Linked DNA regions of Mus musculus. The protein of the gene in region 3 purifies or fractionates together with the protein of the main gene of each other region. This does not show direct contact. Links are inferred from orthologs where the notes say so. Each region holds a gene or a part of one and is shown on either strand. Other genes may lie near its edges.

Region 1 (5,025 bases), on a different chromosome or scaffold from region 3:
GCTAAATACTAAGATATAATAAATGAAATTAAAAAAAAATATATTGGAATTGATATAATAAAGCACACGAGTAAATGCTATGTCTAGTGGGCCGATGACCCTAAGTCGATGCTTTTAACACATACCTGTTTAACATGACTACCAAATATTGGTGAAAGCAGAACAAAATAATCTTTTTTTTTTAAGATTTATTTATTATATGTAAGTACACTGTAGCTGTCTTCAGACACACCAGAAGAGGGAGTCAGATCTTGTTACGGATGGTTGTGAGCCACCATGTGGTTGCTGGGATTTGAACTCTGGACCTTCGGAAGAGTAGTCGGGTGCTCTTACCCACTGAGCCATCTCACCAGCCCCCAAAATAATCTTTTAAAATAGTTAAATGTTGGTGGCTGGAGAGATGGCTCAGAGGTAAAGAGCACTGGGTGCTCTTCCAGAGGACCCAGGGTTCAGTTCCAAGCATCTAGAGGATAGATCACACCTGCCTGTTACTCCAGTTGACATCCTCGCATAGCCATACATGCAGACAAAACACCAATGAACATAAAAATAAATGTAAAATAAACCATTGAAATATGAGGAGCATGTGTCCCTAATAACCATAAATGTTCATGCCTGGTTTCTCATTAACCTTGCTAGCTTAGTAGGGAAAGGACCGATGTCTTGAAGTTTGCTCTGGCACCTTCTCAGGAAGTGATCTTGTTCTTTCTTTCCCTACAGGTAGAAATTAATCTCTCGGAAGTGCCTCTTCACAGCCAGGTGACATGTCAGAGCCACTCAGGAAAGGCTTACCCCAACTCCTGAACCAAGCAGCCTCCCAGAACTTAGCTCCTGGGAAGAACTTCTCAAGACCATTCTCATTTCAACAAAGCTCTGGTATAACAGGGCACCTGGGGGGGGGGGGGGGAAGGAACGACGACCACAGGTTGTTCTACTAGTTTGGGGAAAAGAATGTTGTTCTACTAGTTTCCCGGGATTGCTGCAATTGGCCGGAAACCACCGGGAGAAGAAGGAAGGAGAAATAAAGGAAGATTAATCACCTATAGTTAAGTAAATTACATACATTTTTTTGGGGTCATCAACAGGTTGTAAGTAAGCTCTCTATATACCAATTTTGGAAAATCTTGAACTGGAAAAAAAAAATCCAGTAGGATACATGCCATTTAGAAAAGAGCCAGGAAGTGGAGCATAAGAATGTAAGTATATTCTTAGTCTGCATACAAGTAAACGCTAGAAGGATTTGGAACTTCGAGAACAGAGAACTACGGCAAATTATATACTTATTCTCAAATCAAAGTTAAAATTTGCCAGTAGCTAGAGAACTGCATGTTAATAAAAAATACTTATAAAAGCAAAGTTCAACACAAGGGAAACGCAAAGGGTAACTATTTTGGAAACATTGACTTGAATATTCTACCAAATATTATCATTATCCAAATCAGGATAACGTTTTGTGTTCAAATCATCTGCGCTTATTACAGAGTCCATAAGATAATGGAGGACATTTGTACACTGATGAAAACAGTGGACAAAGTAAACTATAACATGCTCAACTACTGGAAAACTGTAGCCAGTTAAAAATAGTGTTTGGAAAACAAAACCCTGAAAACCGTATTTATGAAGGCATTATCTCTCCTGCCAAATATTAAAAAAATGTATCATTAGGACCAAAATTTAGTGGCAAGTTAAATCTCATGTGTCTTAAATGTTAAACAAACAAACAAAAAACCTTTTACAATCAACATTTTTAATTGAGTGTGACGCAAACTGTAAAACTGTTCTTGAAGAAAATAAATAAATAAAACGATACAATGATTTCTTCTGCCAGGCTTCTTGTGTTTGAACAAAGGTTGCCTTTCGTTGCTGCTCTGGCAAAGACCTTAAGCGTAAATCTTGAAAAGAACGCGCTCTTGAAAAGCAAGCTTAAGCACACGCACGCGCATTCCTACAAGCTTACATAATGGACCCTGCACCGGCCTCGCTGGCCGGCCGGAACCCCGCCCCCAGTCCCGCCCGCGCCCTGCCCCCATCCACCGCCCCCTTGCCAGCTCAGCCGCGCAAGCGCACTAGCTGTGCAGCCGCTCCTAGCCCGGGGGATCCTGGGATTCTGCCTTTCCGGAAGGTCGGGCTGGCTCTCGGTGCTAGGCCGCCGTTCTAGGCCCAAGTCGGGATTCCAGGCCCTGCTCCAAGCCAAGTCCGTAGCCGCGACGACACAGCGGGGATCGCAGAGGACGCGGCCGCAGCTCGTTGGGGTGGCTGAGCCTTGGAGGGCGGCAGCCGGGGTGCGCAGGCCGTGACGGCCCCTCCCCCGCCCTGAGCGCAGCGGCGAAGGACGACAGCCCGGGACCGGAGGAGGTGAAGCGGTCACGTAACTGCCCCGGGTGATGACTCACCCGCTCTCCTGGCAGATTTGAGGTGCGTGCTGCTGTTGCTGCAGGGCGGACGTCGGTGTGCCCAGAGCGGTGCTGCGGCGACCGCTTGCTTGCCCTTGGTTCGGCGGCCCCGGGGTTTCCCGAGAGCGTTCTCTTTGTAACGTCTGCGGCCTGCAGCTCGCAGCGAGCTCCGGCTTCTCCCATGAAGGTGTCTCTGGGTAACGGCGACATGGGCGTCTCTGCCCACCTGCAGCCTTGCAAGTCTGGAACTACGCGGTTTTTTACCAGCAACACGCACAGTTCGGTTGTATTGCAAGGCTTTGATCAGCTCAGAATAGAGGGCCTACTTTGTGACGTGACGCTGGTACCTGGCGATGGAGAGGAAATCTTCCCGGTTCATAGAGCCATGATGGCGTCTGCCAGTGATTATTTCAAGGCCATGTTCACTGGAGGAATGAAAGAGAAAGATTTGATGTGCATCAAGCTTCATGGGGTGAACAAAGTTGGTCTGAAGAAAATCATTGATTTTATTTATACTGCAAAACTGTCTCTTAATATGGACAATCTTCAGGACACTCTTGAAGCTGCCAGCTTTCTACAGATCTTGCCGGTTTTGGATTTTTGTAAAGTATTTCTTATATCAGGCGTCTCTTTGGATAACTGTGTGGAGGTTGGCCGGATTGCTAACACCTACAATCTTATAGAAGTGGATAAATACGTAAATAATTTCATCCTGAAGAACTTTCCTGCCTTGTTGAATACTGGGGAGTTTCTGAAACTCCCCTTTGAACGGCTTGCCTTTGTGCTTTCCAGCAATAGTCTCAAGCACTGTTCGGAACTTGAGCTCTTCAAGGCAGCCTGCCGCTGGCTGAGGCTGGAAGACCCTCGGATGGACTATGCCGCAAAATTAATGAAGAATATTCGCTTTCCACTGATGACACCACAGGATCTCATCAACTATGTGCAGACAGTAGATTTCATGAGAACAGACAATACCTGTGTGAATTTACTTTTGGAAGCAAGCAATTACCAAATGATGCCGTATATGCAGCCGGTGATGCAGTCGGACAGAACTGCCATTCGATCTGATTCTACTCATTTGGTTACCTTAGGAGGAGTTTTGAGACAACAGCTAGTTGTCAGTAAAGAGTTACGAATGTACGACGAAAGGGCGCAGGAGTGGAAGTCGTTAGCGCCCATGGATGCTCCTCGATACCAGCATGGCATTGCTGTTATTGGAAATTTCCTTTATGTAGTTGGTGGCCAGAGTAATTATGATACAAAAGGAAAAACGGCTGTTGATACAGTTTTCAGATTTGATCCTCGTTATAATAAGTGGATGCAGGTGGCATCATTAAACGAAAAGCGCACATTCTTTCACCTGAGTGCCCTCAAAGGACATTTATATGCAGTTGGTGGGCGCAGTGCAGCTGGTGAACTGGCCACAGTAGAATGTTACAACCCAAGAATGAATGAATGGAGCTACGTTGCAAAGATGAGTGAACCCCACTATGGCCATGCTGGAACAGTATATGGGGGTTTAATGTATATTTCCGGAGGAATCACTCATGACACTTTCCAAAATGAGCTCATGTGTTTTGACCCAGATACAGACAAATGGACACAGAAGGCTCCTATGACTACAGTCCGAGGTCTGCATTGCATGTGTACAGTTGGAGACAAGCTGTATGTCATCGGTGGCAACCACTTCAGAGGAACAAGTGATTATGATGATGTCCTAAGCTGCGAATACTATTCGCCAACTCTTGACCAGTGGACACCAATTGCTGCTATGCTGAGAGGTCAGAGTGATGTTGGAGTTGCAGTCTTTGAAAACAAAATCTATGTTGTTGGTGGATATTCTTGGAATAACCGGTGCATGGTAGAAATTGTCCAGAAATATGACCCAGAAAAAGACGAGTGGCATAAAGTTTTTGATCTTCCTGAGTCGCTGGGTGGCATTCGGGCTTGCACTCTCACAGTTTTTCCACCTGAAGAAAACCCTGGGTCACCTTCTAGAGAATCACCTCTTTCAGCACCTTCAGATCATTCTTAGATCCAAGGTGTAATACCTTTTCAGTGTATCATGGGTGGTCTTGTTCATCCCCTTGTATTGTTTCTCCTTATTGCTACAGTTAATAGACAAAAAGGTAACTTAGACCCTTTTTTTTTTTTGGTTTGGCTTGATATTGTTTAGTAAATGGCTATACAAGTGCATTTTGAAAAGTATTAAATATATTCAGCTGTTTTAACAAGTAAAAAAGATACATAGAAAATTAGATTTTTTTTTGTGGTGTTACATGTGTCAAATTATAGATGATCTTAGTAAATGTGTAATTATGTCTGTTATACTAAAAATTAAAACATTTGATTTGACTGAAACATTAAATGGAGGTCCCCTGTTCTAACCTAATATAAAGATTGCCAAGGTACAGCTACCTCCCTCTTGGATAGTTTTGGACAATCTGTTGTCTAGGCTGTGTGATTAGTCTTAGAATATTTGAAGTTTCCTAGGTAGACAGAAATAGTAACAATATTAACTAGAAGAAACAGGTCAGGATTTGTTCTCTCACTGGAGAAAAAATAATAGGTGTGTACACTAGTCAGATATTCATGCTCACTCAAAAATTTGTGTACACACATAAACTTTTAG
Region 2 (5,097 bases), on a different chromosome or scaffold from region 3:
GAACCCAGTCGCTTGCCCTTTCTAGCTTCTATAGGCTGCCTGTAGTCCTTTGTTCCGTTTTTAAGGCTGACTGGCAGTAGCTTCAAAGCAGTCTCCCCTGCTTCTCTCATAAGCTTTTTTTCTGACTCTGTTGCTCTTGTCCCTAGCCCAGCGGGGCAGCATCAGAGCAATCTCTTCATAACTTTTACTGAACCAGGTCTGCAACTTCCTTCTGTCACTTTCCAGAACAGATCAGCAGATTATGGTGATGGGGGCATGGGTCTTGGTGGGAAACATTATTCTATAAAACACAACAAAGCTGGAATTGGGTATCACCTGTGGGCAGTTTCCTAATGTTAAACTCTAGGGTTTGCTCTGTTTCTTCAAAGATCTCCCACTTCAGTTTGCCCCCCCCCCCTTTTTATTTTTTTGGTTTTTCTGAGACAGGGTTTCTCTGTATAGCTCTGGCTGTCCTGGAACTCACTCTGTAGACCAGGCTGGCCTCAAACTCAGAAATCCACCTGCCTCTGCCTCCAGAGTGCTGGGATTAAAGGCATGCGCCACCACCGCCCGGCTCCCTTTGTTTTTTTAAATGTACCAATCCCGAAGTCAATTCTCCAAGGACAAATAAATTGGGGACACGTGTATCGGAAAGTAGATGTATTAAATTGATGGATATCGTTCCACATGGAAGATGAGAGCGGAGAATGTTTCCCCAACCAACGTATCCACATTCCATCGTTCTACCATGTCATCCGTAAGGAATGTCACTACCATTTAGTAACTGACACACAAAGGCAGCTTTCTTTCCGTCTTGCTAAATGTTACTCCCACCTGTCTCAGCAACCACGCTAGAAACCTGGCCTACCTATTCATTCCCCCGCTCAGAGCTGGCCTCCGCGTTTCCATCCCCACCGCCAGAGTCTAGGTTGTGGCTCTGATCCTTCACTGGCCCAGCCCTAACCCTTGCTGTGTCTGTTCATTTTCACTGCCCATTTAAGTCGTCTTTGCTTGGAATTAAGTCTTCCATCTTCAAACCCACACACCCAGGTAAGTAACTTTCAAGAGTGACGACTCTCCAGTTTCGGCCAGGAAAGACCTACAACCCAATTTCTACGGCTTCAAAGTTCACAGTGCCTGCTTCTTATGTGAAAGATGGAGTCTAATGGGCTTTATACGTTACACTTGGTAGTCCTGGAGTGTCGAGGACTTATGTCCGGGCTTTCTGTCAGGGTCTTGAAATAAGGAGTTCGAATGAGATCAGTTCGCCCGCAGCCTCGCATGCATTATTTCGTCCTAAGTTGACACCTTTCTAGCGCAGGCAAGTCGGGTATCCGTCTTCCCACTGACAGAAGGAGGAAACTGAGTCGTGGTATTTCAGGCCTGGCCTCGTAGCACCTTCATGCTGGTAATGCCTCTCTTGGCCCATTCTCCTCGTCCAACTTCTCGCACGTAGCTGACTGTCCATCAGGCAAGCGACTAAGTGCAGAAAGACGAGGCTTTCTCCAACCGGCGCTCCGGCTCGTCCCCTTACGCAGTGACGCGACCGATGACGCTATTCAGTGACGTGTGATGACGTGCCTCACCCTGAGCCAGGTGTCGGCAGGGCGGCCACACCCTCAGGGCCCAGTACTGGAGGGGCAGTGGCTCCGACCTGGGGAAACACGCCGCAAGACCCCCGCCTGAGGCGACCTGGGGCCCTGGCGTCCTGGGTTCTACTGGCCCACGGTTGAGCCGTTGCTAAGTGACGCCAGCGCGCAGAGCGCGTGCGCGGCCACGGCGGTGTGCGTGAAAGCGGGCGCGCGCCGCGACGGCGGCGGCGAGGAAGGCGGCGACGGCGGCGGTCGAGGGGGCGGTGGCCACGAGGCGGGGTCGCTGCTGGCGGAAGAGACGTGTGTGGCGGCTTCTAGGTCGCTGAGGGACATCGTCGGGGTGAGTCGCCCGGACCGCTCGTGAGAGTTGGGGCCTGGCCGCACCTGCTGCGCGGGCCCGGGGCGCGGGGACGCGCTCCCCCTCCCCGCCGGACCCGCGCGCGCCGCTCCACGCCCCTCGGCCGCTGGTTCCGGGGGCGGGGACGGGGGCTGAGGAGGGTCAGTTCCCGGGCCTGGCGCTCTGGGGTGGGGGTGGGGGGGGGTGAGAGGGGGGCGCTGGAGAGAGGGGTGCCGAGGGACAAGTGACTGGACTCCAGTGCGACGCTGCCGGTTTCCTTTTAGGAATTTGAAGCGGGAGAAGCCCGCGTTCCTCAGCAGCCGCGCGTCCACACTGAGACGCCGACTGTGCAAACCTGACAAACGCGGAAATGGGGACCCTCGGGGTTCGCAAAGTTTTGGGGTAAACCGCGAAGAGATCCGTCAGCTCTACCCTGGCGGGTCTGGGAGTAGGAGCGGGTTGTTAGAGAGATCGTTAGAATCTGTGCCTGCGTGAGCGTCGGGCACACCCACGACCCGGGGAAGGCGACTTGTCAGTGAAGATGCTGGTTGACTAACCTGTTGCCTGGACCTTCCAGCCTCACGTGCATGCCCACGTGCTTCTCTGAACATTATTATTATTATTATTATTATATCCTGTGTTGATCCACATTTTTGAAGCCAAGGGACCATATCCATCCAGTATTGTTACTTCCTCATAGACTCAAATCTGCCCTTGTATCTATTTCCCAGAACCGTGCTGTGCTTTGGCCATTTCAAGGGTCTTGCAGGTAGAGCAGCCCTGCCTTTTGTGTGTGTTCTTCCCAGAAGCAGTGCGGGCTGTTATTTATCTGGTGGAAATGTAGATTGTGTTTCACGCGTGGGCTGGCATGGTGAGACTGGAGTTAAATGATGCAACTGGCCATCAGCCAGTATACAGGATTCTGTTGGGTCCGTTGTATGTGGTGGTTTTTTAAGGAGGAATAATGGAGACAAATGGAAGAAATAATCTTTCCCGTTATGAGTTAAAGGCAGTGCCAAGTGAGAGTGACAAGATAGGGAGCACTGACATTTGATCATGCCTAAAAACTGAGGGACATAACTTTAGAGTTTCCACCCAGAGTCTAAAATCAGGAGATTCAGTTTTATAACGGAGTCTCTGTAAGGTATGGTCTCTGAAGTTCTCACGTCTTGGAATCAGTAAAGCTTGCTTTGAAAAACCACTCAGGAGCCACTGTTCTATTACGAGCTTTTGTGAGTGAGTTACTTATTTCCCCTTTTGCTTGTGCCTCCTAGAAAACTGCCCGCTCCCGGGTAGATAGCTATGCGGTTGATGCGGCCTCATACCCCGTGGACAGTACAAGGGGAACATTTAGTTTTATCCTTCACATAGTTAATGCAACTGCCTCCCTCTTTCCCGAGTTGTGCCTCTTAGTGAGAGGGTTATGGGGTCACAAGTGAGGTCCCTGACCAGCCTGTTTTCTTTTAAGAATGAGCTGTCTAGTCAGAAAAAGAAATCATGTATATGTCAAAGAATCCCAGAAGGAAGTGAGGTAGTAGGATTAGGTGGGGCTATAGTATAGGAGAAGTTTACACAGGAGGAGGTCAGATACAGGGCTGGCCTTTAAACAGAGAGTAAAATTGGAATTAGGAAAGAGATAAATCCTGTGGTGAAAAGTTAGTGCTAATTTGGTCATTGGATGGCGGAAGGATATTTTGAGGAGGCTTGTGTGACTGGAGCAGAGAAAGGTTCCTTGTACAGAAATAGTGGGGAGAGAGGCTTTACAGGGTGGCTGTAAAAGTGTTACAGACATCCCATTAATTTTAGTGTAGACTCCGTCCTGGTTAGTTTTTTGTCAACTTGACAAAAACTAGAATCACTGGGGAAAAGGACCGTCCGTCTGCTGAGGAAGTGCTTCCGTCAGGTTGGCCTGCACAGGATGGGTGTGTGGTGTGAGGGCATTTTCTTAATTGATAATTGATACAGGAGGTCCCACCCACTGCCCTGCAGATCTGGCTAGGCCTTGGCAGGCTGTCCTGGGTTGTAGGAGACAGGCAAGCCAGGAAACGGCATCTGGCTCCTGCCTCCAGGTTCCGGCCTTTGCTTTTCTTGATGATGGACAGTTGGCCTGTAATCAAAATAACCCCTCTCCTAAGCTGGTTTTGATCAGGGTTTTATCACAGCAACAGCAAATCAACTGGAACAGAGTATGTCTGTAGGGTGGGATCAAAATAAAATCTTAGACAAGAATAAGTTACAAGTGTTACTCTTTTAAAACATCTGTTTCTCCTCTTCCTCCCCCTCCTCTTCTTCCTTCTCCTGCTTCTTCTTCTTTTTGTTTTGTTTTTGTTTTTTTTTTTTTTGACAGGGTTTCTCTATGTCATGGTTTTTCTGGCTGTCCTGGAACTCAGAAATCTGCCTGTTTCTGCCTCCCAAGTGCTGGGATTAAAGGCGTGTGCCACCACTGCCTGACTCTTCTTTTTTTAAAAAAAATTGGTTATTTTAATCTATTTGATTTTTTTTTTTTTTGAGACAGGGTTTCTCTGTGTAGCCCTGGCTGTCCTGGAACTCACTTTGTAGACCAGGCTGGCCTCGAACTCAGAAATCCACCTGCCCATGCCTCCTGAGTGCTGGGACTAAAGGCGTGCGCCACCACGCCCGGCCAATCTATTTGATTCTTGAGATAGGGTTTTACATATATCCTTGGCTGGCCTAGAACTTATTTTGCAGAGTATTCTCCTTACTCTGCTTCTTGAGTACTGGAATTACAGGTGCTAGCTATCAAGCCCTGCCTAAAAATAAATGTTATTTTTACTTAAAGGATATCTGGCTGAGCTAGGATAAAATTTCTGTATCCTTTGATTTCATTTAGTAATTGGAATAAATGTTTCATTCCTGTGCAGTTATCCTGGGCTGTCAGTATTGCATGCCTTCAGCCACTAAAATCTACCTAATCGTCATCTGATGATATTCAGTGATATTCATGATACAGTTTCCATCATGATTATCTCTCACAATGCCCTGCCAAACAATAACTTCCGACCCTGTGACAAAGGTACAAATATGTTAGCTAGAAAGGGAGTCTATCTGAAGAAAGGTACTAATAGACACTGACAAAAGGATCTGACAGTAATTAGACTCTGCTGGAGAATATTAACTCATCTATAATGTTCTTCGTTATTAGAAAATTCTTGAGCTCTTTGTAGTGAC
Region 3 (4,297 bases):
AGTTTGAAGTTACTTTTTTGTAGTAGCCTTTTCTGGCTTCTTCCAGATTCTTTCAACTGATTAACAGAACGTTACAATTCTGTGATATTTTAATGTATCGATACCAACACTTACCTTATTCAGATTTAAAAATTATGAAATAATGTAGCTGTGAACACCCAGTCTTTGAAGACTTTTATAAAATTCTTTTCTACTGTAAGTAGAAATAATAGGAAATGGAAGTTCCGTTATAAATTTCACTTGGCTATTTTAGTGTCCCAGTTGCATGCATAGTTGATTTTTCCTATTATCTCTACATGTATAGGGAGGTGAGCGTTAACATTCCTTGAAACCTTTCTGTACAAACTTGAATGCAGTTTGATTTTCTTGGCCCTGCATATTTCCTGAGTTGTTTTGTTTTGTTGTATTTTTAACTCTCTTTGTTCTGAACATCTCATTTCACATAGACTGCAATAATAGCATCTTAAAGAATAGTTTAGAAAACTTTTCTTCCTCAATAGTGTGATTATAAAAAACAAAAAACAAAAAAACAAAACCAAAAACCCCTTCGTCCCTCTGTTACTAGTCTCAGTAGAAACCCAGGTGACCGTGTCCTCCATTAAGTCCCGTCTTCTATCCAGGTGACCGTGTCCTCCATTAAGTCCCGTCTTCTATCCGTAGATCTGCAGGAAAGCATATCCAGAATCCATCGAACAATTGAACTCATGTACTCGGACAAATCCATGATCCAAGTAAGTGAGCGCTGGGCTGCCGGCCCCTGTCACTCTGTTGCCACACCGTGTGCTATTTGTAAGGATTTCTTTTTAATTCTGTGTATGTTTGTGTGTGCATTGGTGCCCTGGGAGGCCAACGCTGTAGGGTGACTTTAGAGCCAGAGTTACAGGCAGTTGTGGACTGCTGGACATGTGTGCCGAGAATGTTGAGTTATCCTTCCATCTTCACCTTCATCCTATTTATCTCACACCAATTCTTGGTACATGTTTTGTCATACAACTTGAATACATTTTATTCTAATAAGCAATATATTTGGTATTATAGTATAAACTAAGGAGAAAAACATTCTGATAAAATTTTATAACAGATTTCCTTCATGTTATACCTAAGTTACTCCTTTTAAAAAATCTTACAATAAAATTTACAAGCAGTTTTCCAAACATATTCATTAAGAAAAAAATATGTCCATAGGGAAAATGCATATGACCATTTAAAGGCAAATAATTGGGGTAGAAACCCTGAAGCCCCGTTCAACTCTAACTTCTTTCTGGGTGTGGGAGCAATGCCTGTAACCCCAGCGCTCGCGATGCTGAGGCAGGGAGATATGTTTGGGAGGCAGGCCAACAGGCTTGCATAGTTAGAAACTGTCTTCAGAGAGCAACAAGCATGCAAGCCTACTTTGGATATACATTGATCATGCAGTCTGGTGTTTTTGTCACTACAACTGTGAAGACAGAGAGAAACTGTGTGTATAAATGTCCACTGTAACTCCTTTGTTCAGTACAAAGAAGTACTGGGCCAGCCACCAACACGTACAATCTATTTTCAGTTTTGAAAATTACTTTCTCTTATATGTTTGTATATTTTTAGTTTAATAACTTCCATAGATTTTCTCCCTGAATAATTTTGCATGTTTTGTTTATTTGTTCTGTTGTTTTCCTCAAAACCTTTAATCCCAGCGACTTTTATTCTATTTAGAAAATGTGCCCCAGCTTTCCTTAAATAGGTAGTTTGCAGATGGCCTTGGGAAATGGTTTAGTAGACAGTATAATTCAACTTTGCATTTCTTTCCACGCCAGGTCCCTTACCGCCTCCATGCCGTCCTAGTTCATGAGGGCCAGGCTAATGCCGGCCACTACTGGGCGTACATCTTTGACCACCGGGAGAGCCGGTGGATGAAGTATAATGATATTGCTGTGACCAAGTCTTCATGGGAAGAGCTAGTGAGGGACTCTTTCGGTGGTTATCGAAATGCCAGTGCATACTGCTTAATGTACATAGACGACAAGGCACAGTTCCTAATACAAGGTAAGACGATGCCCTGCCATCACTGCTATTTCCATATCTGAGTGTTTTACCTGCATGTATGCAAGGGCACTGTGTAAGAGCCTAGTGCCTGCCCCCAAGAAGATAGGTGTGAACCCAGAGTCAGAGATGGTTGTTGTGAGCCATCATGTGGGTGTTGGAAACTGAACCCAGGTATTCAAGAGCAGCAAACTGCTGAGCTGTGTCTCCAACCCCACAGTGTGGCATTTTTGAGTAAGGATTTTTCTGTCATGATTTGGCTGTGTGATGAATTCACTGAGGGTGGAGAATTGCATTGAGAAGTGTTCATGAAAAGCTGGAATGGGGAGGTGATACAACCTAAGCTGGACTCCAGGAACGGGACCCACACCAGGCAGTCACACTGTACTCAGAGCTAATAACCAACATAAATCCGACTGTGCTCCCCATAGTGAGAGCTCCTTAGCTCCTGCAGCCAGCCGGACACTGGCTGACGGTTGACCCCTTAGTCTAGCACAGAGGGCCTTTGTTTCTGGCCTCTAAGATTTGCTCCAGCCTCATGGCCCAGTTTGAACTTTATATACTTCACTGACATTTGAGCTTCATGCCATCTCCTCTTGCACAGTTTTTTTTTGTATACTTCCCAAAACATCAGTTCAGGTTTTCTCAAAACATATTTCGGGGCTGGAGAGATGGCTCAGTGGTTAATAACACTGACTGCTCTTCCAAGATCTTGAGTTCAATTGCCAGCAACCACATGGTGACTCACAACCATGTTTAATGGGATCCAATGCCCTCTTCTGGTATATCTGAAGACGGCTACGGTGTACTCACATACATAAAATAAATAAATCTTTAAAAAAAACCAAAAGCATTTCTTCCATCAGACAATTGTGTGGTTAGGTTTGAACACTGTAATCTCTTTGGCTCAAAGCCCAAATCCCTGTGAAAATATACTGTAGTCTTTTTATTTCTGTTGTCCTAATGTAGTCTTTGCATAAAGAAAACACCCAGTATATCCCTTCTGTCTGTAGCCGTGTAAGCTTAACTAGGCTGTTCATTTATAACTAAAGTTTAATGTTGTAAGAAATCTTTAATCTCAGTGGGGTTTCTATCCCTGCTTTTGATCATTTAGTTCCCAGATAAAAGACACAGACTTTTATATTTCTAATAAGCCTTCAATGCACTACAGCTGGGCAAATCTACCTTCTGATCTATTAGAATCCACCTCTCCATCAATAACTCCGAGTTATAACTTTCCATGTTCCATCTAGGCAGCCCTCATGGCCATGTTTCTGATCTACTTGTGCCATGGAGTCTTCTCCCCTCCCCCCTCCTGCTCCCCCCTCTCCCATGCTCAACCAGGTAACTGAAAAACCTGCCTACCCAAATCCCTCCAGTAATTGGCTGTAGCCATTTTGATTTAACCAATAGTTTTAAATTAAGGAACAAGGTTTGCATAACAAAAGCTTGTAAACATGATTACTTACTCATAAGCCTAGACCTTTGGGTACAGAATTTAGCATTACAATAAATAGCCACAGAGCAAACTTCAACAGCTCACTTTGACTATTGAAGTACTAGTTGCACATTGTTTCAGAACACCTTGCTGCATTGATAAGCTTCACAGTTTATGTGATTTTATGTTGTATTTAATCCCTTAACATAAAAAACGGTTTTAGTTCTACTTTGAGCTTAACATAGTCAGAGATTGCTTCTGACTTTGGTGAAACAGTTATTTCCTGCATAATCAGACTTTGGATATTTTCTTATAATAGCAAAGTGAGGTTAGGCTCATGTTAGAATCACCAGACATTTTAATTAATTCTGTATTGCCTCTCCTTGCTACTCTTCAGACTCTAGGAACTTATCAGAAACCTTCGACTCATTTTTCTAATAGTTATGTCTTTGTTTTTCTGAGCACTTTTAGACTTTTTAAGAAAATGTAGGTAATGTTTGCTATGGTGACTGTATGTAATAATGAATAGTATATAGTTTATATGCCACTTGAAATGCATTCTATTTTGAACTTTGCATTTTTCCGTGACTTCTTAATTTTATACTAGTTTTTGAAATATGATTTTCAGAGGAGTTTAATAAAGAGACTGGGCAGGCCCTTGTTGGAATGGAAACCTTACCTCCAGACTTGAGAGACTTTGTTGAGGAGGACAACCAGCGCTTTGAGAAGGAACTGGAAGAATGGGACACGCAGCTTGCCCAACGATCACTGCAAGAAAAGCTGCTAGCTGCGCCGAAACTGCGGGAAGCAGAGGCTTCGGCCACCACAGGTTTGTCTGCT
Region 4 (4,730 bases), on a different chromosome or scaffold from region 3:
TATATATATATATATATGCCCATGCCCCTGACCACTTAATCTCTACCACTCTGGGACAGCATCCACAGTGTGGAGGCAGCGTTGGTCATCTCTATTCTATGGCTCACAGAGGGTCAGCGAAAAGCAAGCAAAGCATGTGGCCAAGGCCTGCCCGGCCCTGGGTTGTTTGTGATGCTTGGCATATTTAGAGCTATGACATGGAAGTCAAGATAGAACAGTTCCGTCTCATTGAAAGAAAAAAGGTGAAAGATAAGCAGTGTGTAGTTCAGGTGTTTCCAGACCCATGTTCAAGGCCCCAACTCGGCCACACACACTGGCGCAGGGACACGGTGGGCAAGATCCCCGAATGTATCCCAGCTATCAGACACTGGCCCTCCCTCCTTGTTGCAAGCAGCCGGGTGGACACAAAGCACTCAGCACAGCCCAGGCCGGCCAAACACTCAGCAGGAAACACTGCTGTTGTGATTATCTGAGTCTTAAGTCGTCTCCTCTTTGGAGACTGTCTCCAACTATGAATAACTGAAGGCATGGAGGATCAGGATGGAGCCTGAGACACCAGGTGAAGCAATGAAAGCCTGGAGACTTTCCTGAGTCCCACACCCTGGGCAGCCTGGTGCCTGGCACCAGGATAGACCCTTGGAGGGCAGGTTCTGGCTCCACTCACATCCTGGGCTGTGATGGTGACCTGGGGTCACAGAGCAGTCGCCTGCCACTGCCTTCCCCACAGAGACACTGTCCTCCTGCAGGCCGACTTCATGAGTAACTGGGGGGGGGGGGGGGGGGGCTGTGTGTGCAGGAGAGCAAACTTGGTACCAGTGAAAGGGTGAGTCAGTGACAAGTTTGTTCTGGTGGGACGGGTGAATCTAAGTTTCTTTCCGGACTGTTGCCCACTAAATAAATGGTGGCTCCACCTGGCCATACACTGGAAACCCAGAGGAGCTTTTAAAAGACAGTAATGTCTGCGTCCTACACACACACATTCCTCTGTTATCAGCCTTCCGGGTGTGGCCCAGGGAACTTTTTTTTTTTAATTTCCCCAGCTGGTTCTAATGTGCAGTCAACATGACAAGCCTCTGTTCTAAATGGTTCTGTACCCCTTCATTCGGCTATAATTAGCTCTGTGGTCTTGAAGAAGCTCTCTAACAAACCTCATACTCTGTTGGCCCAGTGATTTCCTGACCCGCATATAAAAACAAACCAAAACATCACAAATAAAAGTCTCACTTCACAGCGATTGAAAAAAAAAACCCACAACAAAATAAAAGTCTCACTTCACAGCGATTGAAAAAAAAAAAACCCACAACAAAATCGGCCAAAAGAGAGAATTGTTGACTGTCTTGTTGGAAAGCCAGACAAAAAAGACAGGGGAAAACAAACAAAACCTAGAAAATACTAACTCCCTGCAGACTGTCTCCTGAAAGCTGAGGGAAACAAGCCGATGGTGGAGCCAACCTGGACTGCAGTTTCAGGCCGCCACTTTCTGTGCAAGGTTCACAAGAGCTATTGAACCTAAGTCTCAGTTTCCTCCTTTGTAAAACAGACTGTTAAAGCCAGAACCTTCCAAATACTGTCTCCCCCCACCCTCACCCTGCCCCTGCCCCAAGAACAGAGTCAAAGCCCGGCCCACCTCCTCCTCCTCCCTCAGGCTCCCTTCCACTCCTGAACTCCTCAAGACTTGGTGTTCTCAACTGGAGATATTAGAGTCACCAGAGCTTCCAAGACACTGCTGCCTGCCTGCCTGCCTGCCTGCCTGCCTGCCTGCCTGCCTGCCTGCCTGCCTGCCTGCCTGCCTGCCTGCCTGCCTGGGCGGAGACCCCAGGCCAGCAAGGAGTGCTGCTGCCTGCAATTTGGGATTAAAAGGCTCTTTCAGGTGATTCCGATACAAAGGAGGATTAGACAATCTGTTTATCTAGTAGCCTTGGAGATCTGAAGGGAGCTCTTCCGGGCGGGTTGCTTAAGGGGTATTATGCAAGGAGGCTAAACTAACCTGAGGTCTCTGCTACAGGGCTACTGCGTGAAGCAAACGAAGTTAAAGGAGGCCAAAAACTAAAGCCCCACACTTTTTTCTAGGATAGTCACCCCCCCCCCCCCAGTTCTCCTGCTTTTGAGAACTTCTCCAAACAGTCTCAATGAGGATGTTGTCAATCCTGCTTACTAGGGAAGCTAGGTATTAGAATCTGGTTTCAAACGCCCTCCATTTCACAGCCCAAATCCTTAGTGACACACAGAGACTGTAAAAATACATCGGTGAGCCCAGACTATCCTGTTGTTAACTAGTTCCCAGGTTAGCCCCAGGGGACCAGTTGGTGGTCTACCGGTGCTGCTGGCCGCCTTCTACCAATGTGTGTGTCTCTTGTTTTATACCAAATAGAGCTTGACCAAAGCCAGACACAGGCCGAGTCATCTGTCTTCAGTTTGGGACTGATCTTGTGAGTGAGTGGCAGACAAAGAAGACCTGGGTTAATAGTCCACCCGCCCCCCATCCCCACCCAAGGACAAAGAACCATTCAAGGGACAGACCCTAGAGAATCTCAAGTAAACCGAAACCATCCCATAACGCAGACAGCAACAGCTGACATCCTGGGACTCCCGAGGTGTGGTCACCTAGGGCCTCAAGGGAAGTGATTAGGTAGGTATCCAGGTGCCACTTGAGGCCAGACTCTGTGGTCAGGGTACCCCGACCTCAGACATGTCTCCTTAGAATTACTGTTACCAGTCATCTCGCTCCAGACTTGTGGGTTCAGAGACGCCCCCTCCCTCTCTTGCCTGGAACCCCACCTTACTCAAGGCACAGCCTCCCAGAGGCCAGACTTTGCTCGATTCCAAGGGTACACGCTCGCCCCTCTCCACACGCCCTCGAACCCTCGTTCGTTCCCCACCCCGAGCGTCGGTCTCGATGCCTCCGCCGCCGTCTCTTTGTCCCGACGATCTCCCACGTCCCATCGCCCATCAGCACTCCAGGCTCGCCGCCCAGCGCCACCACCGCCCGCAGGACCAGCCGCCCCTTCGCAGATCCCCACCACCACCACCCCGACCACGGCTCCTTTCATTTGAAGCCCTTCCCCCGCTCCGGACCTCGCCCGCACGCGCTACTCAGCGCCCCACCGCTCCCGCTCAGCCTCGTCGCCACCCTCGCCCGCCCCGAAGCTCCCCGACGGCGGCCACCGCCCTCACCATGAAAAGTCGGAGGACGCCGGAGTCTCCAAATCCGGACTGAGAGGCAGGAAACACCCAGCTCGCTCAATGCAGGGGGCGGAGGCGGGGCCGGGGCGGGCACTTCCGGCGTCCGTCCACACCCCACTTCCGCCCCGCAGAGGGACTCTTCTTAAAGCGTTCCCCCCCACCCCCCACCCCCGTAAGCCCTAGATGGGGGGAACTCTTTTTATCAACCGTTCCCGCCTCCCCTTGGCCGAGTCAGGCGTTTAGTCCCACTTCTGGATGTTTGTTTCTCCTTTCCGTCTGCTAAAGAAGATGACAAGAGGAAAGGAGTCCTCACCTCCTCCATGGGCAAAGAAGCAGTGCGGAACTGTTGTTTCCCGGAACTGAATAATTGCTTGCTTCCCAAGAGGTGTTCGGAGCACAACACCCGGGGCAAGATGGCGGCCGGGCTTCGGCCGCTGCCCCGGGGCTGGCGGACCTCGGGGGGATCGGGCTAAGGCGGCGGTCGCTGCGGCCCGGACCCCGAGTGCGGGGCCTCGAACGGATAAAGATCTCCGGACTGCGGGTAGCGAGTGGGGACAGGATGGGCGCTTCTCTGGGCGGCGGGGCCAGGGACGGAGGGAGGCTATCTGGGGGGCCGAGTCTTGGTTTGAGTGAAGTCGGAGGAGGGACTGGCTTGCGGGCTTCGGGGATCTCCTTGTCCCCCTTCCATTGATTTCCGTGCCGAGGCGACTGGCCTTGCCAGCCAACTGATTGTGGGCGAGACGGACTTGTTCTTGTGGTTGTTGATGTCGGTGCCTGTGAGAGGCGTCGGGCCTCCGGATCACCCCAAGTGGAATTCGAGCCCAGTGCTGTCGCTCGCTGTGTGACCTTGGGTGAATCTAGTCCCATCTCTGACCCTCAGTTTCCTCCTCTGTAAATAGAGTAATTAGATTGTTTTACGGAGATTATTTTAGAATACGTTTTAGTGTGGTTCCTGACGGCTCTTGATCAAAAGCTGGAAAAACTGGATCGTATTTTGACTTAAGCCTAGCTAGCCTCACAGGGTGCCTGGCATTCTCAACTTCTCTTTGTGGTGCCTTTCTGTGTGTGTGATTCCTGAACCTTGCCTTTTTGACTTGCCGATAAGTAATTCCTTTGGGAATTCAAAGTCAGGGACGGTGGGTGAGGACACTGGCGAGTTATGTGCCCTCTGCATTTCGTTTCCCCATCTGGATAGGCTGTAGCTGTCTAAGAGCAATAGTTTGGCTTATTAATGGTTTCTTTAAGAGCTGTTGTCTTATCTTAGGCTTTTAAAATTGGGGTGTTGTAGCCTCACAGGATAGGCTTCCAAAGGGAGGCCTAGTTAAATAGATCTACAATGTCTGTTACATGGTCTACACTTAGATGGTGGCCCTTAGGCCTGGGAAACTAGCGACTTCTACCATAAAAGAAAGTCGCTCAGCAACTTGTGTTTATTTTTACTTCACAGTCTGGACTCCTGTGCGACATGTTGTGCTTCTTGAAGTTAGTCTCAACCAAATAGGTTGGTTGTAAGCAAGTTGCCTGGGGACGTAGAAGTAATGCAGAGT

Evidence for each region.
Region 1: the proteins of Usp25 (region 3) and Klhl9 purify together in Homo sapiens (affinity purification with mass spectrometry; 3 studies listed by BioGRID and IntAct, with this or other methods). This does not show direct contact. The link is inferred for Mus musculus from reciprocal best matches to the Homo sapiens genes USP25 and KLHL9.
Region 2: the proteins of Usp25 (region 3) and Btbd9 purify together in Homo sapiens (affinity purification with mass spectrometry; 3 studies listed by BioGRID and IntAct, counting the BioPlex papers as one, with this or other methods). This does not show direct contact. The link is inferred for Mus musculus from reciprocal best matches to the Homo sapiens genes USP25 and BTBD9.
Region 4: the proteins of Usp25 (region 3) and Kctd10 purify together in Homo sapiens (affinity purification with mass spectrometry; 4 studies listed by BioGRID and IntAct, counting the BioPlex papers as one, with this or other methods). This does not show direct contact. The link is inferred for Mus musculus from reciprocal best matches to the Homo sapiens genes USP25 and KCTD10.

The regions. Positions count from the first base shown.
Region 1 is NC_000070.6:88,719,552-88,724,576, reverse strand, and holds the start of Klhl9 (kelch-like protein 9), read left to right. Parts: upstream 1-2,068; 5' UTR 2,069-2,574; coding exon 2,575-4,428; 3' UTR 4,429-5,025.
Region 2 is NC_000083.6:30,572,960-30,578,056, reverse strand, and holds the start of Btbd9 (BTB/POZ domain-containing protein 9), read left to right. Parts: upstream 1-1,769; 5' UTR 1,770-1,911; exon of another isoform or gene 1,912-2,069; intron 2,070-5,097.
Region 3 is NC_000082.6:77,079,664-77,083,960, forward strand, and holds part of Usp25 (ubiquitin carboxyl-terminal hydrolase 25), read left to right. Parts: intron 1-660; coding exon 661-731; intron 732-1,793; coding exon 1,794-2,022; intron 2,023-4,085; coding exon 4,086-4,286; intron 4,287-4,297. UniProt on the Homo sapiens protein: Deubiquitinating enzyme that hydrolyzes ubiquitin moieties conjugated to substrates and thus, functions in various biological processes including inflammation and immune response.
Region 4 is NC_000071.6:114,377,252-114,381,981, forward strand, and holds the start of Kctd10 (BTB/POZ domain-containing adapter for CUL3-mediated RhoA degradation protein 3), read right to left. Parts: upstream 3,255-4,730; 5' UTR 3,178-3,254; coding exon 3,175-3,177; intron 1-3,174. UniProt on the Homo sapiens protein: Substrate-specific adapter of a BCR (BTB-CUL3-RBX1) E3 ubiquitin-protein ligase complex. The BCR(BACURD3) E3 ubiquitin ligase complex mediates the ubiquitination of target proteins, leading to their degradation by the proteasome.